Linked DNA regions of Drosophila melanogaster. Changing the gene in region 2 together with the main gene of any one other region gives a genetic interaction. Each region holds a gene or a part of one and is shown on either strand. Other genes may lie near its edges.

Region 1 (8,422 bases), on a different chromosome or scaffold from region 2:
GCCTAACAACCCGATTAGAAGAAATCTATTAAGCACCGCATTAAGCTGAAAGAGCGAAAAACTTAATCGCCGTGAATACAAGCTGATGTGTGTGTTTTAGATACACATGCTAGCTGAAGCGTCTGGCTATCGATTGTGTTTGCATTGAGATTTGTTCGCACCTTTATGCTACAGCAAATTAATGACGCAACAACGTGTAAGTGCACTGGGAGAAATTCCTGAGGCAGGTCAGTAACGACAACGGTCGGGGAAAAATCCCTTGCGTTAGTTTCGTGTTCGAAAGGGCCATAAAATTTCCGAATCGACAGATGTTTGGGTTCCGGGAAGCAGGACCATCCATCCATTTCTGCCTGCTTGAGATCCTACCTACCCGGTGGTTGCCTGCATTTGAAACCGTTGTCTAACCTTGAAGTAACTACGGTCGTACCAACCAAGCCGATAACTCGAGAAATTGGCACAGGTTGTCCTCAGGAATCTAGATACCATTGTTCAACACCGAGAGGTGGTCTCACAAGCCCGATGAGCACGACTATTCGTATCGCGAGAGACCCACCAATCTTGGGCCGACGAGCGTCAAGCCACTCGAACGGATACTGAGAGTTCGGCGGACGGAAAGTGAGACAGTGACAGCCAGAGAAGAACGGTAGGCGGCCCATGGAAGCACAGCGAAATGGAGACGCAAATCGGCTTATCAGGCAGCGATGTTCAGGCAAAAAGTCATCGCTGCTCCTCAAATATGTGATAACTGAGTGGACGACGGGCCACGATTACAGGTGTTTACGTTCACCATGCCGCCTCGGTTGGGATGCCGCGGAACATGTTCGCCGGTTTTAATTAGCGATCCGCCTGTCGACAGTCGTCCGCTCGCTCTGTCGTCGACCGTATTATTCAGATTACCAGATATATAGCCTAGGTATTCGTATTTGCCATTGCTTTCGCACGAAAATAGCTGAAAGCGTGAGAGGCTGTCCAATCGAAACTCGACTGTTGGATACCCGGCAAACGATAGTTATTACCCTTTCGTCGATAGGCTACTGGAAATAGCACCAAGAACCTTATGTCTTCCGGTCGAATTCCTCTAGTATTACTTTATGGGTTGTTATTCCGCTCGTTAATGTGCACATTTTGAATGAACTTGAAGATCAACCTCGCAGTGATTGTCCCACTGATAACACAGATTTATAGAGAAGAGCCAGTACAACTCGAGCACGTTGACTACCAGGTGATATGGGCGATATGTTATAGCCTACTCGGCAGTTCCAGTTTCCCATATATTGGGCGATTCCTGAACCCACTGGGTTCGTGCGGCGAACGAAGCCATCACCATCAAATGGTCGAACCACAAGTGCGGGATCAACAGAAAGATTGGCACATGAAAAAAGAGTCAAGGGTGGACCCAATTCGACGAGTGATAGGCATTGGCATTTAAGTCGAAGTCTTTGGTGGGGCCATTAGGACTTAAGGATGTTTAATATTTCTGGAAATTGCCGATTTCGAAAACTAACCCTTAAATGTTTTCGAATCTTATGGGGTTGCAAATTGCTGTTTTCTTGCTATTTCTCCAGTTCTCTAATTCTAGTTTTAAGACGCATAATCCCGGAATAGAGCATTTCCCCGATTGCGTGCATCTAAATAGTTAGAATCTCAAAAATAGCTGCCCGCTTTCCTGGTCCGCGAAAATCACCTGCTTCCCCACACGTTACCAATCAATTGACCCCAATCCGCGACGACATTGCGTCCCACGCTGGTCCACTCTATAAATACGAATACCGTGCTGAATACAACACACAGCACACACATCTGCATCTGCGGCAACAATGCTGCAACACTTCTTCCCATCGGCAACATCCACATCCACTGTTCTGCTCTGTTCTGTTCTGTTCCACCGACGAACGGTCAGAACGCCACAGAGTGACTGCACCACACACACCACACACCACCATCGCCGCTACCAACCCCCAGACCCCGCCCCCAGGCCCACAAGCGCACCACTGGCGCGCGCAATTTTCAAATTTACCGCCAAACGCGCCCACAACCGTACTCACGGAACCCAAGCAGATTTTGTATGGAATTAATCAGGAAACCCACTCAACTTGTCATTTGCGGATCTAGTTTTGATCGCAGCGCCTCGGGAAAAAGCCCAAAATTAAGCGGATACTACCAGCTATAGCCTCGATCAGTCTCTGAACCGATCCGAACAAAGGTATTCAAGTTATAGGCAAAAATGTCTGCAACCGATTTGGCGCAAGAAGAAGCAAGCGGCAATTTCTAGCCATCGAACGGACGGCAAGCTCAGTCTTGTACGAACCGTCGACGGGAGCACATATCGGTGGTTAGCAAACCAAAGGAAAACGGATATTCCATACATCAGTGGGGCCTACGAGTAAATCCTTTTGCCTGCCGTAGCGCCGCCTGATATATGGCACCTCCTAAAGCCTTACTATATAGATACTATATTATCAGAAAATCACCGCAAAATAATATACCAAAAATCCAACGATCGCTCTGCTCTGGGCTGTTGTTGTTGTCTTATCGACTGCGGCTGTACAAATGCCGCGGCGATTTTTTGAGTGTATTGTATGGGCCAATGGCGTGGGAGAGAGAGAGCGAGTGAGCGTCGTAACGATTTCGGGGAGAGCGAAAAAGAGAGCAGCGAGAGCGTTTAAAGAAAGTTACTCTCTCCTCGAGAGGCAGTGCTTAAATAGACGGCCCGCAGCTGAATCGCATTCAGTGTGTTTGTGTGCTTCGTTCGGTGCGGTTCTCTCTGTCTCTCTCTCGCCTTCCCCGAGTATTTTGCGCTGGTTTTTTGTCAACAACAAGACAATCCACAAAACCAACCCGAATTGTTCTCTATATAACGCAGAAACTAAATAGTTCCGGAAAACCTCAAAGAAACCAATTCAAATATGTCGGCTGCTACGGAACAACAGAACAACGGCGATGTGGCCGTGGAGAAGGTGGCGGCAGATGATGTGTCTGCTGTCAAGGACGATCTCAAGGCGAAGGCGGCCGCCGAGGATAAGGCCGCTGCTGCCGATGCCGCCGGCGACGCGGCCGACAACGGTACGTCAAAGGACGGCGAGGATGCCGCCGATGCCGCCGCCGCTGCCCCCGCAAAGGAATCCGTGAAAGGCACCAAGAGGCCAGCAGAAGTGAGTACTGATCTATGTGACTAGGTAGTTGTTTACGCGGTAAAACCAAAAGGAGGCCCCTCTAATGATTCACTCCAAGCCAATATGCCAGTAGCATAGCATTGTTCGAGGAAAAATTCTAGAAATAGATATACACACGTTTTTCGGAACAGCGCACTCTCCCAATGGCTTACATATGCCCCCAAAAGAGAGAGCGTATAGCTGGCTCGGTTGTGCGTTTGTGTTGTTTACGATTAACCAAGATGATTGCGGGTCCGGCAATCAAAGATTATTGTTGTTAGGTTCAAATCGAGGTTAGGAGGGCCGCCGTGCTTATATAGGCGGGGAGTACAGTTAGCCAGGGCCTTTTCTTTGGTGGGGTGGGTAATGTGTTTTTAATAAACCCATAGGTCATTAGCATTGACGTGTCCGCTGAACAGCGTTACCCAGCAATAGATACATTGTGGCATTACGTCTATAACTCATACGCTTGGCCTTATTTATCAGTCGCTGTGGCTACGGGAATTGCAAATGCAAACGCAAACGCAATTCAGCGCGATGCCAATGCACTCTCTCAATGAAAACACACATTGCCGGCCGGTAAATTACTCATGTCATGTTTGGCCACTTTATTTTTGGTTAGTATCGCCAAGAGCACGCGGTATTCGAACAAGTTTTGGGGGCCTGAAGCAGTCGCATTCCATAATCGAGTAGCACATTTCTTGATAAAAATAAAATAGTTCGGCCAGTAAGGCAGATAAATTGGCAAATCAAGCGCTTTTCTCAGACTCAAACTCGAAATAAAAATGTACAGTTTAACGGGAGCGTTCTCTCGCTCTCTCTCTCTCTCCCCGGAGAAAGATAGATACAAATAGAGAGCGCTGCTAACTCTCTCCCTCGTAATTTGTATACACACCGTTTTGTCTGTTTGCGTATGTGCTTACATTTATCTTTCACTTTTTTTTCTGCTCTGCCTTATGCGTATTTATTTTAGTACATAAAACAAGACGGCTAAACAGGGTGTCGCAAAAGTTAGTTGGGTTTCTTCGGGATTCAATTGAATAATGATCATTATCCCATGATCATGAATTAGTTGAGATACGTTTGGCACGGATAATTCTTAGTGGTACAGTAACGAATTGTATAGATTTCAAGAATAGTTTTGAAAATTATTCGTTGGTTTCCATATCTTTCGATTCCAAACAACAGATTAGCTTTTGTCCCTATAAATGTATCTTCACGCTTAGAAAACACAAACTAAAACCTCTAACTAAATCAAGATACATTGATTACCCAGTTATAACACCAGTAATAGTAGGCTTAGTTCTTGCCAATACAGATACACCCTGTTCGTCTTAATCCTCTATTGGCCTTTTCTCGAGTTCTGGGTCTCGTGACTTATGCTGTAAGCGAAGTGAAAAAGGGGGGCGATGGGTGGCCATTAATTTTGCACATTTTTCCACAGTCCGATTGTTTTTCGCTTCTTCCGCTTTGTAACAGTCTGGTAAATAGGGCCCTTGTGTTGCGGCTTCTCTTCGACTTGGGAACGTGACCGCCTATATACTGCCATAAACCATATACCATTATGTGTATCTTGTTGTTGGTTGGTCAGCGGCAAAAGTTAAACCCACGCATGTTGTTGTTTTGCGCCTTTTTCGCTGCCGACGTCGCTGCAGCAGCTGTCGTTCGGATGGCTGTGAGTGAGAGCGAGAGATTCATTCATGCAGTTCAGGTACAGTTTACAGTGCTGCGGATTCAGATGCTCTCTCTCTGGCGCTCTCGCCCGCTCTCTATCTTACAGGGCACGCTTCGTTTCGTATCTCACGGATGCGGATACATATGTCGCTGCCGGCGTCGCTGCTTATTGTTTTTTTTTCCTTCCCCCTTATGTAGTAAATATGTCGCCTTGTACATACGGAGCACAGATGTAATGTAGCGCGGTTGCACTTGTAATCCACTCTCTCACGTACTCTCTCTCCCGCTGTCTCTTTTTGCCGCAGCGAATTACATTGGCGCGCGCATTTTTCAAATGTTTTTTTACGGCGAAAATAACGATTTTCGTCGCTGCTTGTTTTGTGTGCTGAAAATATACATTTTATGACTATGTACACACGCACAGGAAGTTGAGAGGGGTATTGGATGCCCTTGATCAAGGAGATGTGTGGGTTTGAGTTGGGCGCGTAGGACCATTTCGCTCCGTAATTCTCCCTAATATCCTTTAGTTTGTTTCTCAGATTAATATCAAAAATGCATAATTAATAGTGACGGGCCCCTTATTTCTGTTCAATAAACTTGCTTGTAATACAGTAAATCATCAGCGGAACAAAAACCAAAGGAACTCTACTAACTTCTCTTTTTTCGCTTCCAGGCCAAATCCGCAGAATCAAAGAAGGCCAAGAAGGCCGCGGCCGCCGATGGAGATTCCGATGAGGAAGAGGCTCTGGAGGAAATCATCGAGGGCGACAGTGAAATCGAGAGCGACGAGTACGACATCCCCTACGATGGTGAGGAGGATGACATTGAATGTGATGGTGAGTTCACGGAAGCACTTCCCTTTTCCACATCAATCTAATCCCCGGATTTTCCCTTTCCCTTACCCGCGCAGATGATGATGATGATAATGATGACGGTTCCGGCTCGGACGATCAGGCGTAATAATAATGTAGTCAAAAATACAAACAAAAACAAACAAAAATTTAAATTAATAATAAATAAAAGTTACAAGCAAAAACAAAACAAAAAAAATATAATAATAAACCAACAAGCAGAAAATAAACCACAACAAGGAGAAAATGAGGAGGAGGAGGAGAAAAAAACCACAAAAAAATCGCAAAAGTATATAATTTTTATGTTTAAGAAATAATTTTTTATTTCTTACCTTATTTTAATTGTATTTTATGTGTACTTTTTTTATAAAAAACTACAAAACAAACAAAAATTGTAATTGAAGGCATTTTCGTATAAACGCAACCTATACGGAATCCAACAAAAAGTAAACATCCCCACTATATACAAGAACAAAACAAAACCAAAATCTTTCTTTCCTTTATCTCATAAGTCCTAATTTAAACGCCCAGTTGATGCGTAAACCAAGATATACAAAGATTTCAAATGTAGCGTAAACGAAGCCCGCGAATTAAACACAGATACACTACACTCACACACACACACGATATTCAAATTCATTATTAAATTAGACGTTACATTTGTGAATGAATGATCGATCGAAAGAAGCAAAAATACAAAAGTGAACATTTGAAAATGAACATGATTATGAACATGAAAAAGAAACAGCAAATGCAATTAAATACAAAACAAATAAAACATAAAAATTGTATTTAAATAAATCGCAAAAATCATTGAAACCCCATACTCGACAAGCATTCAATGACACTCAAGTTTTAGCTATGGTTTCAAAAATTTCGCGCCCATTGTGGCCACAGTCACCCGAATTTCCCAAACCCAAGGCACTGGGACTTAGTTGGTCTTCGCTTTTGGGGCAAATACAAAAAAAAAAAACAAAAAAAAATGAAAGGAAAACATCGGGAAGTTTGAGTTCTAACCTTCTGTTTCGTTTCAGCATTTAACTATAAACTATGACTAATCTTAAGTACTTATGTCAGTATTAAAGCGAGGGCTTTATTATTCTGTTGATAAGTTGTGCGAGCGAGTCGTTGATAAGCCTAATTCATTTGTAAATTGTAAAAACCAACTCGAGAATCGAAAAACGAGCAAGAAAATAAACTTTTAATGTTACATGTATCTAATTAGTAAGGGCATCCAAACTATTTATACACACACCCCGTACGACGAGTTCTCAATATAAACATATAACGACTGATATTTCAAAACGAATCGTGCCCAGCTGGTCAATCACGGCACTCGACACCGAAACCACCCAACCACCACCATCCTCGAATCTAAACGATTTGTCCCGGAAAGACAGACCAGCCCAACATACACACACAATCCACCCACTGACCCAGATCCAAACTCCAAGAGGCTTAAAGCTGGTAATGCCAACCAGCAACTGAATAATTGAGTGCAATTAAACCAATATGCCCAAGATAAATCATCCGATTTGATAACTGATAAACAATAGCGATATCACAGACAATGTTAAAGAACTATGCATTTTTGTAAATACCAATTACTCATGTATCTGCTCCGTGCGAGAATAACATCTAGTAGCGCGAAAGGGCAAAAAGAGAAAAGAACCACGAATCGAAAACGAGAATAAGAAACAATTTTGAACGATGAAATAAATTATTGTAATTACGTAAAAGCGAAAACCGTACGTACATACCACCCATTTGGCATCTGTTCCGATGCCAATAAAAGTTTGTTTCAATTGCAGTTGGCCATTTTGGGTGGGGCAATCACCTCGCTTCGGTGTTCCCAGGGGTAGTAGTTCTTAGCCAGGAGCATGTACGTATGTAGGTACATAATTCATAGATTGGCCGCCCCTACATTACTCCGATCCATCCCTTCCATATCCCAGTTTTCGTTCGGGGGTTGACGAGCTGGTTCCCACAATCCTCCCTATGAAAGAAATCATATACTAAGGGATGATGGAAAAATTCAATCGGAAATTTCCTTTGATTAAGTACCTTTTTCGGATTGAAAATCGATTAGCCTTAGCAGATGCCTATTAAAAAAACGAATGATGAAATTCCGGGCTCTTCGTTGGGCAAATGAAGTTGAGCTACTTTTATATTCAAATTCAAATATAAGCGCAAAAATTTCTAAAAGTTTAAGAGCTTTTAAGTTTCATAAGCCATTTCTTTCATTTATTTCAACTTTTATTAAAATTATTCTCCATATTATTTAGTATCAAATTTAAGAATAAACGCCTAAAAAAGTTTATCTTTTAATTAAAATACAACTTTAATTTGATGCTATTGCACGAGTCATGATGATGCCAAGTACCTGGTGACCTTCAGTATGCACAAATGCTCGCCAGGAATGCGTCGCTCCATGAACTTAACAGCCCGGAACTGGAGGCCCTCTAAGTATTTGATAATCTCCTCCGGCTTGTTCTCCCGCAGCAGGAGTAGGTAGAGCACGCCTCGAGGCGAAAGAATGTCATCCAATTGCTTGAGTAGAATGTCCGTGACGCGTCGCCCGTCCTGTCCACCAGCCCAGGAGAAAACCAGATTGCGATCCGTTGAGGATTCGCTGTGCGAATCGAACTGTTGCGTCTGCAGCTCCTCGTCACTGGTGACTACATAGGGCGGATTGAAGAGCAGCACGTCCACGGATCGCGGACGCAGTGCATCCGCTAGGCTGCA
Region 2 (5,968 bases):
ATATTGCACAATTATTGATAGGCGAAGTCCATCGATGATGTGTTTGCATAAACAAGACTACTTGATACCCTCTTTTCATAAACTTTCTGGGAATACTACATAGATTATAACTAATTCCAAGGTTATATTAAGTTGTATGCTATCTATGATATCTATGGCCACAGCTTAGTTCAAATAAACTTTATTAAATTGCAAAATGGCCGAAAGTCATCATACCCCAGTTCATTTTCAAGCAGCGGGTATAATAAAACAAATCCGTGTACAATTTAAATCAGACAATTGACAGATTTGAGCATGGACAACAACGACAAAATTTATAAGCACATAATAAATGTTTACACGTTCATTGTATTGTATTTACATGGCAAATTTATCTGGCGACATCGACGCGATGGTTTTGTGTGGAAACATCGGTTTGGAATGGGTAATGGGTGGCGTTTGATGGGTAAATTATGTGCGGTAATAATGATGATGGTGGTGATGTTCTAATGGCCGCTGGGCAATTTTCACGTGCCTGTGTGCATTAAAAATTTTTTTTTGGAAATTTTCGTGGCCGCGTACTTTGCAGCCACGCCTCGTTTTACGACATGCCACATCCTTCAACTTATTCCGAAAAAGTTTTCAACGTGCCAGCATCACAACGGCGACGTGTAACTCACTTTCAACCGCCCACTTCAGGCGCTTTCTCCGCCTACCTACCTCCCTCCACCCCCCACCCCACCACGCCCCCTTGACAGCCTTGACAATCTTGGTACATAAAGCCAGATTCGTTGGGCATAAATGGCATTAATCAGTTTGCGGTTTACTTTCGCAAGTCATCCAACTTCTTGGTGGGAAAGTAAAAGTGCCAAAGTGTAACTTTATCGTTTAGGGAACTTGCATATCGAAATCTACAAGTTTCTCTCAAGGAATTCCATTCAAGCTGGTTTATGTTTTTCAAGTAATTTCGCATCATGGCTTATATAATGGATATTTTAGGAACGCATTCACAAATAAAAAGCAATTAAACGTGTACCCAATGCACCTTTGCACTTTTGGGTCATAAGTAATAATAAGGTGGCGCACAAAAAACCTCCACGAATCATTCGTTTCTTTGGAAATTCAATTTGCCGAGAATTCCCCGATAACAGATTTCAATTTCAACAGATTGCTATTTGCGTAAGATTAAATTTCACAAAGAATTTCTAACGCCTTGTGTGCTGTGCACCCTGCTACCTCAAAATTTCCAATTAAACGTATGTTTGTACGTATGTCGATAAAAATCGAGCTGGTTCTGCTCAAGGGAGAATTCAAAGAAAAGTAAAAGGATATCAGCACCTGGATGGCAGGGCAAATCATGTTATGCTTTTATACCGAAAGAGATAATAATATGAATTTCCCAGTCTAAAATGTGTGTGTGTGTGTGGCTGGCATGAACGTAAATTTAACACTTTAATGATTTATGCACAGTATTTAATATTTTAAATTAAATATTTTCTCTGCACTGAAATTGTTTCCTGCATATTTCAAACAACAAGGCGAGCTGCCTGAAATTGCCACGGACAATTTAATTTGCTCAATTTAAATTAAAATACAATACTACAAACAAATTCATGTTTTGCAAAAGCCGTAGTAATTATTTCTAGCTGAAATATAGTATCACAAAAGTGGCAAGCAAATATTTATTGAGGTTGATCTGAAATAAATTCGCTGACACGCTAGCAGCAGCACCAATGAATATAATTAGCTTCATATCGTACATATTTGTATTGTCAAACGTATTGTGGCTGATGAATCCGCCAAATTGGCTGACGTGAATGAACTTTTGGCCCATGAATGAATACCCATGGAGCTGAGTAACCAAGGCCCAAAACCCAAAAGCTAGAATCCAAAACCTTAACCTAAACCTAAACCGTGCCAAATTTAATCGCCTTGCGGGGGATCTGCGTATTTGCTGTCAACTCGGGCATGAGTTAAGCAATCCTCGAGGCATTAAGTCTGCCCTGCGGTTGGCTAGACCAAATTGAAAACGAATTAAAATGAAATCTCAAACGCTTTGTGCCAAAAGTTTTAGCCAGCTTTCGCTGTGCACCGCGCCACACGCCGAAATACTTTGCCAAAGTACTTAAATGCCGTCTATTCTAGTCTATTCTATGCTATTTTTTTGTTTTTTTTTTTTTTAAGCAAAACTTCGAAAGTTCTATACGAGTATATATTCGCAGCACTTTTTTCATTGCGTTATACGAGCAAAGAATGCAATTTCCATTTTGATTGGTTTATCAAATGGAAGAGCTCAACCATTCTGGGCGATTTATAAACTTTAGGGCTTTGAGCGATCACACTTTTTGATCAGATTACTTGTTGCCAGACTTCGTTTAGTGAAAATCACACAACTGGCTGCACTTTCAATAAAATAAGCTTTTCACTTAGGTTACTAAACCATTTTGGTTACTAAAGCTTAGTGTCCTTCGGAAAATATATTTTGAAATAAATTGTGTCACCGTATAAAGAGTTCCAGATGTGCTTTTAATTTTCAGTTGCTCCGCTGGAGTTTCCGACATTTTACGAGCTTCCCCACTTTGCATTGTTAAGTGGAAGAGTGCCAAATTGACAGCAGAAAGTGCTAAAAACATAAATGTTTAACGCAGGTGTTTTCCCCCGTCCGGTTGTTTGAAATATGCTTGTGAAAAAGAACATGGAATGGAAAACATTCCATTTTTCTTGGCTGACTGGGAGCGGTGCTAACATGGCTGATAATGGTGAATTTTATATTGATATCACGAACTGCGCTAAATCATCAATTAAATGATTTTATGATGCCATTTTGGGGATTTTTACCCTCAGGCAATTTCGCTTGTGGTTTTTAGCTCTCGTGTCCTGCCCCACCCCCCATTTTTTTTCTGTCCGATCTGTTTTTTGTGATTTGGTTGAAGTTGTGCTAACGTTGGAGTTCCGTACAGTGAACATTTATTACGATGACTACTTACAATCGACAGGCAGCAACTCAACTACCTACCAAATATAACTGCATATCTTATTTTCTTATTTAAGCATATTTTAATAAATAAAAGAGTACTTTTGTGATGACTTTCCTTATACGAATACTAAGACAATTTTGAAGCTATTTTTAATGCAAATTTCACTTAGGTAGTTTGGCCTGTGCTAATTTTTTCTGGATAACACCTGCTACCATTTTGCCGGGGCCAAGATGCTAACGGTAATGGAGAGACTAACGGTAACAGGGACGACAAGAACACCAAACCAACTTGACGAAGCGACGGAAATGCAACACTTTTCCTTTACTCTTCCGTTTTGCAAATTCCCGTTTGTTTTACTAGCTTTTGTTCCTGTTATTTCTTGGCCACTGTTTGAACAACGACACAAAAAAAAAACACCTAAAAAAAAGGGGAAAATAACGTAAAGCGCACAGGAGCGCTTGAATAAAAAAAAAGGAGGGGGGGGGCGGTAACACAGGGAATTACCAACATCAACACAAACACAAACAAGCGCCCGCCGGATTTATAATGGCAAAGTAAACAAGCTTACGAGTCGCGCGCGACTTTTGTCCCGTTAGCTTGGCTTTTTGTTTTTGCGCGCGCTTTTTTTGGCGCGCTTCTACGCTTTCGTCAGAGAAATCGCGTAACGAATAGCACGAACAAGTGGAAAGCGCGTCCTACGCCAACCGAACGCAGAATGCAGGCGACAGCGCAGCCATCAGCGGCTTTTATACGTGGCCCACCGACCCGAGCAATCGTCGCCCTTCGGCTTCGACTTCGGCTTCGGCTTCGGCTGCGGCGAGAGGGAAACGGAAGTTAGTGGGTGAGCGATAGAAAGCGCGCGGCGGGGGCTTCGGCTCGTTTAGCATATGTCTGCCGCCATCGACATGGGCATCACTGGCACACGTGTGTGCGTGTGCACGCACAGCAGAGTTCACAATAACAGTGATAATTGCATATTCCTTCCAGCTGAATCCTTTCCATTTATACACTTCTTAGATTGGTAAAGAAAAAGATATATATTTTTATATTTATATTTTACAAGGAAATTTTCAGCTAATTTTAGATTTTTTTTTTTAATTTCTCATCCTTATTTATAAGTCTCTACTAGTCGTTCAGCATGCGCTGTGCGCGATTGTTTGCATATTTACTTTATGAATGTGTTTACCAGCAAACTTTGGCGCCGAAAAGAGACAGCAGGCGGCGGGCGAGCGAGAGGTGCGTGCGATAGTGCCAACACTCGCATTAATGACGCCAACAACAGCAAAAGGCAACAACAAAGGGCAACAATTTGAATTGTAAGCCAGCGAACAGCCAACAGCTCAATTAACTATCCGTCCGGCGGATGGCGAAGTGTGTCCGCGTTGACTTTCTCATACGCATAATTCCCATTATTTTGGCAATTACAAGGATGTAATGGCACTCGCATATGCTTGATATTATTTAACCCGTAAGTGTGTGCCATCGCATTGGGGCCGGCCAGGCCAAGGTAAATATGAAAAATGCATTGCAGCGCTGGCATTTTCATTGTACGAATCGCAATTATTAATGCAGCACATGCACAGGTTGCATTGCCTGTGTAGAACTTAACAAATTTAGTTATCTTAAAGAGCAGTCATGATTTACTGACGTAGATCACATTTTGTTATCCTCGAGGAGCTCAATAAAAAACTCAAGACATATTAATTGAGCAAATAGTTAGTGATCCAAAAGTCGTACTGTACTTCTGTGTGTGTGTGTTTTTTTTTATACGGCTGTGCATGGCGCATCTGTTTGTTTGCCAGTTCTTCGTGAAGCATAAAATGAGCAGCAAGTAATTTACATGTAAACAGGTTAAGGGATAAAGTTCATCACATGTAAATGGATATGCCTGATTAATGGCAAATACAACAAGACAGACAGAAGCTTCGGCAAACGAGTATGGATGTGTTTGCTCCTGTCGCTTTTCGCCAGGCCTTTATTACATTCGATATTCTGGCATTCCTGTGCCTGCATGACAATCAGTGAGATATGTATGTATTTACCTGCTAACGATTTAATACAATAACTGAGTATATAGTTCTTAACTTTAACATTGCATTAAGAAGTTCCTAGATCCATTAAAATCATCAGCGAGTCAAAAGTTATTTCTACGAGATAACATGGTTTTAACTCATACATTATCCTTACACGCAGAACTCACTTAACTAATAATTTGCAGTATGTTTTCCCATCTATCTTGTAATTGCTGCAACTTTTAGCGAAAAGCTCTGAACCACTTGCAACTCGAATCGAAGTCCCCTTTCAAAGGCGAACCACTCAAACTTGAACTTCCAGACAGGGCTGCACATGCGGGCCAAATTCGATGGCAAGTTCTGGCCAAGTTAGTAGTTTCATAAGCGAGACCTCAAGCCGAACAGCTCAAACTTGAACTGCTTCCTGCCACTTGGATTGGTGAAATGGTGTGAGTGCAAGGTAATTGAGATGGATCCAGGCTGGTTGGCATCACATCCCGCGGCTTTACGCAACAAACACGCCGCACCTGCCGCACTCTCCCGGATCCGGCTGCATTCCGTCCGGAGAATGTTGTGTCACCTGGCGGAGAAACGGGCAAATTGGGTGAGTGACAGGCCCCGACATTCCTTCGATACCTCAAATTGGGTTGGTCCATGTGTGTGCACTATGAAATAAATAAATAAATGGATTAACGAAATATCCGTAACAAAATGAATGTATCTTGCAAATAGATACTCGTAATAGATACTCGGCTTGTCTTAGAGATTCATTTCGAAGATAGTTCGATTTGTTGGTGATTATCCCAAGGCCAAAATCATAAATAATAATGAATAAAATCTGACAACTATAATCATTAACAAATAAAGTCTTCAATGGTTCAATAGTCATAATGTTGCCAAAACTACACAAAAATGTGTGCTATGCGATGCATAGTTTTTGCGAGTGTGCACAGCTTGAGCAGTTTGCGTATATTTTGCATGGCTGGGATAACTTTTGGG
Region 3 (5,177 bases), on a different chromosome or scaffold from region 2:
ATAATTTGGATATAGCCACACAAAAACTTGTTAAATACACTGGCCAGTTCAAGTGAAAGTGAAAAAAGTGAGCCACCGAAAATAATCAACAATAAACCGTAAAATAAAACGCAGAAAAGTTCAATGAACTTTTTTGCTAATGGCCACAAAGCGAATAAGTAAATCAAAACTAACAAAAATAAAAGTCGGCCAAAGAGCAGGTTGCGATAACGGCCGCTCATTATTTTTCCCCGCCTTCGTTTTATTTTTTCTATATTTTTGCTGTTTACTGTAAGACAAGAACATTAAGAATAGTGGATAATAGAAAAGTGCGACACATATTAAACTTTTTTTGCACGTGCGTGTGTAGGTCAGAAATTCGATGCAAGGTCATGGTGTTTTAAAAGGAAAAAAAGTTGATGACTTGAAAGAAGTGTACAAGTTTAAATTGTAAACAAAGAATTAAGGCAAGAAACCAAAGAGAAAAATACAGTTTTTGCTTTTCTACACTTGTTGCGCAAAAGCTTTTTTATATCTCATTTATTATTGTTATTATTCTGCACATGTGCGTAGAATGTAAACAAATGAAACTTTTGCAAAAGTCACAAGTGAAATTTAGCAACGTCGCGCAGTCCCATAAAAAAGATTAGGCGACACGAAAATATGAAAAATGGAAATGTGTAAACGTGTCGAAAAGAAAACAACAAAAGCGGCGTAGCAGAAGTGTAGCACAAAGTGGAAACAAAAATATGTGGCGACTGTTCTCTCTCTCCCTTCCTCATCATCCTCCTTGCCTCATGCTGAGCCGTCTGGTTCTCCCACTTTTCTAAGTGTGTGTGAAAAGTGCAGAGAGAAAATTTCACGCTTGTTGTTTTTGTTTTTCGTGAACAAACATAAAAACTGACGAGGGAGTATGACAAAATGAGCGGGAGAGAAAGAAAAGGGGAGCCAAAAGAGCGAGAGAGCCTAGCATTGAACAAAATATTTTATGTGTGGGGGAAAAACCAAGATGGCGGCCACCAAGACTTTGGGAATCTATCGAAATGAAAAACGTGCTTTTTTGTAGGAGTTTATAATAGAAAGCAATTAATTGAACTCGCTCTTGGCAATCTTCGTGTTTACTAATCATAGTTTTTTTTATCAAGCTTTCCCTCGTCGCAATCGGTAATGAAAAGCTTATATAACTTTCCTACTCGCGCACACATACACGTGTACTTGTAGAAAACATTTCCCACTGCAACACTTGACCTCATTTGCATGGAAAGTGAGCCACTGGCAGTGTGTGCGTGTGTGAAAATTAATGAAAACCGCCCGTCATTTACTTCAGCGTTGCATTTTGTGGGAAAGCTCTCCCTCTCCTGCTCTGTCTGTGCCTGTCTCTTTTCGTACATTGGTGAAAAGCTTTCTCCCGTGAAGTGAGCATAGGGAAAAATCGATAGAAACACCACTGGAAGTATCGATTCGATATGCAAAAACACACACAATCTCAGGCAGATAATTGCCAGGTACAGTTCAAATGCAAGTTCTTATTGTATATTATTAAGCGGTACTTTAAAACATTATTGATCAATTTTATATACACACCGAAATAGAATCACAGGCAGCACGTAGTCGTCAATAAACTTTGCACATATCAAATTTTGGTGTTGCTTTTCCAATCCATATATGTATATATATAGTAAAATATATATAATACTAATACACACACACACGATAACGCGACGGGGGGAAAAGCAATAAAGTTGAATTTATTTTTACTGTATGTGATGGGGCCCTGTATGCATGTGTATGTATTTTCCTTTCCCGCTGCCGTGGAGAGCAGAAAGAAAAGAGTAGGCAGCAGCAACAACGCACCACACACTGAAAATTGCGGACGCGCGAAGCCACTGAAGAAAAACTGACGACTGACGCGACTTTCCGCTGGTGCTCGAAAAAACGAAAGGTTCCCATAAGCAGAGACCCCGAAGAGCGCCGAGAGAGTTGGAAACGAAGCCGAAGCGAAACCCGAAGAGTGTGAGTGCGAATGAGAGTGTGAGTTCGAAAAATAAGTTGACGTCGCCTGTTTGCCACCCCTCTTCAGACGTGTGCTTTTTGTATGCTTGGCGCACAGAGTTGCCAATTCACGACAAAAGATCGACAAATTAGGATGATGCAGAAGGAGGACACGCTTTTCATTATCTGGTTGCCACCTAATTTAAGTTCCACATCAAGGAAGAAGGAAATACGTTTCCAACGGACGTCAAATTTACTAACTACACTACTTGAAAAGCCTGTCTATAAAAACACGATAACGTTTTTGCTAATCTCAAGACAATGTTAAATATAATTGGAGAAAGTATTGAATATGAATATCACAAAAATTGTTTAGGGTCTCTACGTGGTAAATAGTATTTGGCATAGACAGTGAGATGTGAGTCGTACGTACTAATTAATAAAGTTGTTCAATAGAACCTCATATACTGTAAGTGACAACGAACGAGGCTGACAACTCTGCTTGCACATATTTGGCGGAGTTCGAAAATATCATTCGCATTGGTATTGTTTTTGTTTTCCACCATGGGGCGAGATTTTGTTGTTGCTTTAGCTTTGCTTGTTTTTTTCGCAGCAAAGCGAAGCCATAATGTTCGAAATGGTAAAATTACCGTTGCCGAGCAAGCTCTCTCTCTCCCCCACTCCGACACCTCTCTCCATCTCTCGTTGCAGTTGTTTAAGGGTGTGCGAGGGAGATGAAAGATGGTCTCGGCTTGTGTGTGCAATGCATTTCCCACTAAAAAGCGCAAATTATATTTTGTGCACTCTCCAAACGTTTTTATGATCGGCGTTGATTTATTTTTGGCTTCCAGCATGACTTCATCGCCGCGCGTTTTCTCTCTAATTTCGGTGTACAAATTATGTGTACCTAAATATGTACCTTAATTTTTAACGGTTTCATCGGGTTTTCAGCTGGAAAATTAACATTTCTGTGCGAAATTCTACACGCATGCCAAATGTTCTAACCAATACTAATTGATGCGAGGAGTGTCGTTTCTGTGGCAAAATCATAAATTCTACAGATCTTTTCGACGGCTACAGTGTGCATATGAAAGGTGAACGTATAGAGATGATGGTCCCCGCATAACATCACGTCGATTGACAATCGCTCACCTGAATTTCCATTGGAGTTTTCATGGCAACTCGGTCACGTTCCCTCTTTCTCACTCCCTCTCTCTCTTTCCCACACGTTGCACAGGAGAGGGGGCGCAAACACTCACAAACACCTATAAATTATTATATATTTCGTCTTTTTGCATTTGCAGTTGAACTTTAATTACAACAAATTATGCACTCGACACAAAAACGTATTTAACATCACATAGTTTTTTCCGTGGGTGTTTTTCCAATCGGTGCTCCGCTTGAATTTATGCAATCCGCACTGTTTTTTAGACTACTAACAATTTATCCTGATTTTTTATGTGGGTGGAAAAGCAACGAGAATTTAACGAGCGGAGCGACGACGATTTTATTCCTGAGAGTTGCCGTTTGTTACTGAAAAATCGCTGCAAAAAAGTTCGAATAAAAGTCGAAAAAAGAAATAGGCTTTGCGTGTGTGTGTGAGCACGAAGTTTTTGCTTTTGTTGTTCTTTCTGCTGCATTCGAAAAACCGAAGATCGTTCGTGCGCTAGAACAAGTGAGTGCGAGCGAGATGGGGACACTCCACGATACAGTTGATTGCTTTTTGCAACTGTCTCGTTGGAAAAAAGCGTTTTGCGCGGGAATTGAGGGGAAGAAAAGAAAGAAGAAGAAGGGGTTGTGGCAAAAGGAAGTCGCGCTAAATGAAAAGGCAAAGAAAATGTGTTTTTTTTTTGCTTAGCACATAAGGAAATATGGCACATGGAGTTCTATGTAAAAAGCTATGTATTTAGATCGTCAAATAAAACGTGGAATTTGTGGGAAACACTTTTATAATACTTTTTGTATGTATAAGAGTTATAATAAGCATAATGAGAGCATGGCATAATACGAGATTTAAGCCACATGATGTACTATGTACATATGTACATAGAAATGTGTGTATGTACATACATAACATAATTTTTAACGAATTCTTATAAACCAAGTGGAAATGTTTCTAAAAAATTATGAAATGTCAAGGTCATACATAATTTACAATGTAGGTTCTACAATTTTTAGAGATTACAAAGCAGTGAGGAACATACTTATGTACATACATTTATGTAATATTTACATAAGTACATAAATATTTATGTGATTATAAATTTATATACATATACATATATGAAAGAATATATACATTCATATATACACAGTTTTTTTTAAGAAGCTTACACGGCAACTGAAATGATCTCACCATGCAGATGCAGAACTTAAAATTTGTAAATGTACATAAAAAGCTAATTTAGGTAATTTTACTACAAATAAAATAAATGCTATTAGCGCTGAAGAAGATAATTCACCAGACACCTGTCATTATTTTTTGCGAGGCAATTAAAATTCCCGACTGGGGAAGTAGAAAGGTGTCAAGAAAAGATTAAACTTTCAATTTATGGATCCACTCTTTTTTTTTGCATTTTGCCATTTTGCATATCTGTTTGTTTTGCCAATTGCTACTTTCTAATAAAATCGTCAATGTTCACGGCACACATTCGTATAAATCTTTGGTCGTTTTTTACCACCGCCTTGCATTAGCAATTGCCAAAACTTGATTTTGATGCTTAAATATAACTGATTACTTGATTTGAGCAAATATATGTACACATGCATGTACATATAAAAAAGTCAGCACAAGATCATAATTACACGAAAAACAAGAACAACAATAATGCTGTTACACGGTGAGAAATACATATGTGTTATGATTAACTAAAGTCAGTAAGCATATTTTTACTGGAATGTAGAATTTAAATTCATTTATGAAACTACATTTTTGCTAATATGCATATAATTTCTAACTGATTTCTAACTCAATTGGCACATTACAATGCCTTGAGAGCAAACGTAAGATTTGGAAAAGTGTTTTGACCGATCTATTACTAATATTTTCTTGCAGTGTAGCGCTGTCGGCGTCGACGCCCGCGCAGCAGCTTAAAAAAGCTGCGCTCAAAGAAATTAACAATAAAAGTTGGAAATTTTGTTCAACGCTTTTTGTTTATTTTTTAATGTTTTTGTGTTGTTGTTGTTGGCTCTTGAATGACGAAGAA

What was found.
Region 1: of Tbh (region 2) and Bacc, changing one suppresses a phenotype caused by changing the other (phenotypic suppression), as found in Drosophila melanogaster (one study listed by BioGRID).
Region 3: of Tbh (region 2) and lola, changing one suppresses a phenotype caused by changing the other (phenotypic suppression), as found in Drosophila melanogaster (one study listed by BioGRID).

The regions. Positions count from the first base shown.
Region 1 is NT_033779.5:2,750,509-2,758,930, forward strand, and holds Bacc (bacchus), read left to right. Parts: upstream 1-1,936; 5' UTR 1,937-2,332; intron 2,333-2,486; exon of another isoform or gene 2,487-2,560; intron 2,561-2,724; exon of another isoform or gene 2,725-2,863; 5' UTR 2,864-2,906; coding exon 2,907-3,152; intron 3,153-5,499; coding exon 5,500-5,662; intron 5,663-5,736; coding exon 5,737-5,786; 3' UTR 5,787-7,412; downstream 7,413-8,422. Other genes in the region: HemK2 (HemK methyltransferase 2), read right to left, coding at 8,042-8,422. UniProt on the Drosophila melanogaster protein: Negatively regulates tyramine beta-hydroxylase tbh and thus the conversion of tyramine (TA) to octopamine (OA).
Region 2 is NC_004354.4:7,993,291-7,999,258, reverse strand, and holds the start of Tbh (tyramine beta hydroxylase), read right to left. Parts: upstream 3,563-5,968; 5' UTR 3,466-3,562; intron 85-3,465; exon of another isoform or gene 1-84. UniProt on the Drosophila melanogaster protein: Catalyzes the hydroxylation of tyramine into octopamine, a neurotransmitter involved in ovulation and locomotion. Functions in an amine-mediated Bacc-dependent signaling pathway that negatively regulates acute ethanol sensitivity.
Region 3 is NT_033778.4:10,539,782-10,544,958, forward strand, and holds the start of lola (longitudinals lacking), read right to left. Parts: upstream 3,511-5,177; 5' UTR 3,124-3,510; intron 2,215-3,123; exon of another isoform or gene 2,060-2,214; intron 1,993-2,059; exon of another isoform or gene 1,564-1,992; intron 1-1,563. UniProt on the Drosophila melanogaster protein: Putative transcription factor required for axon growth and guidance in the central and peripheral nervous systems. Repels CNS axons away from the midline by promoting the expression of the midline repellent sli and its receptor robo.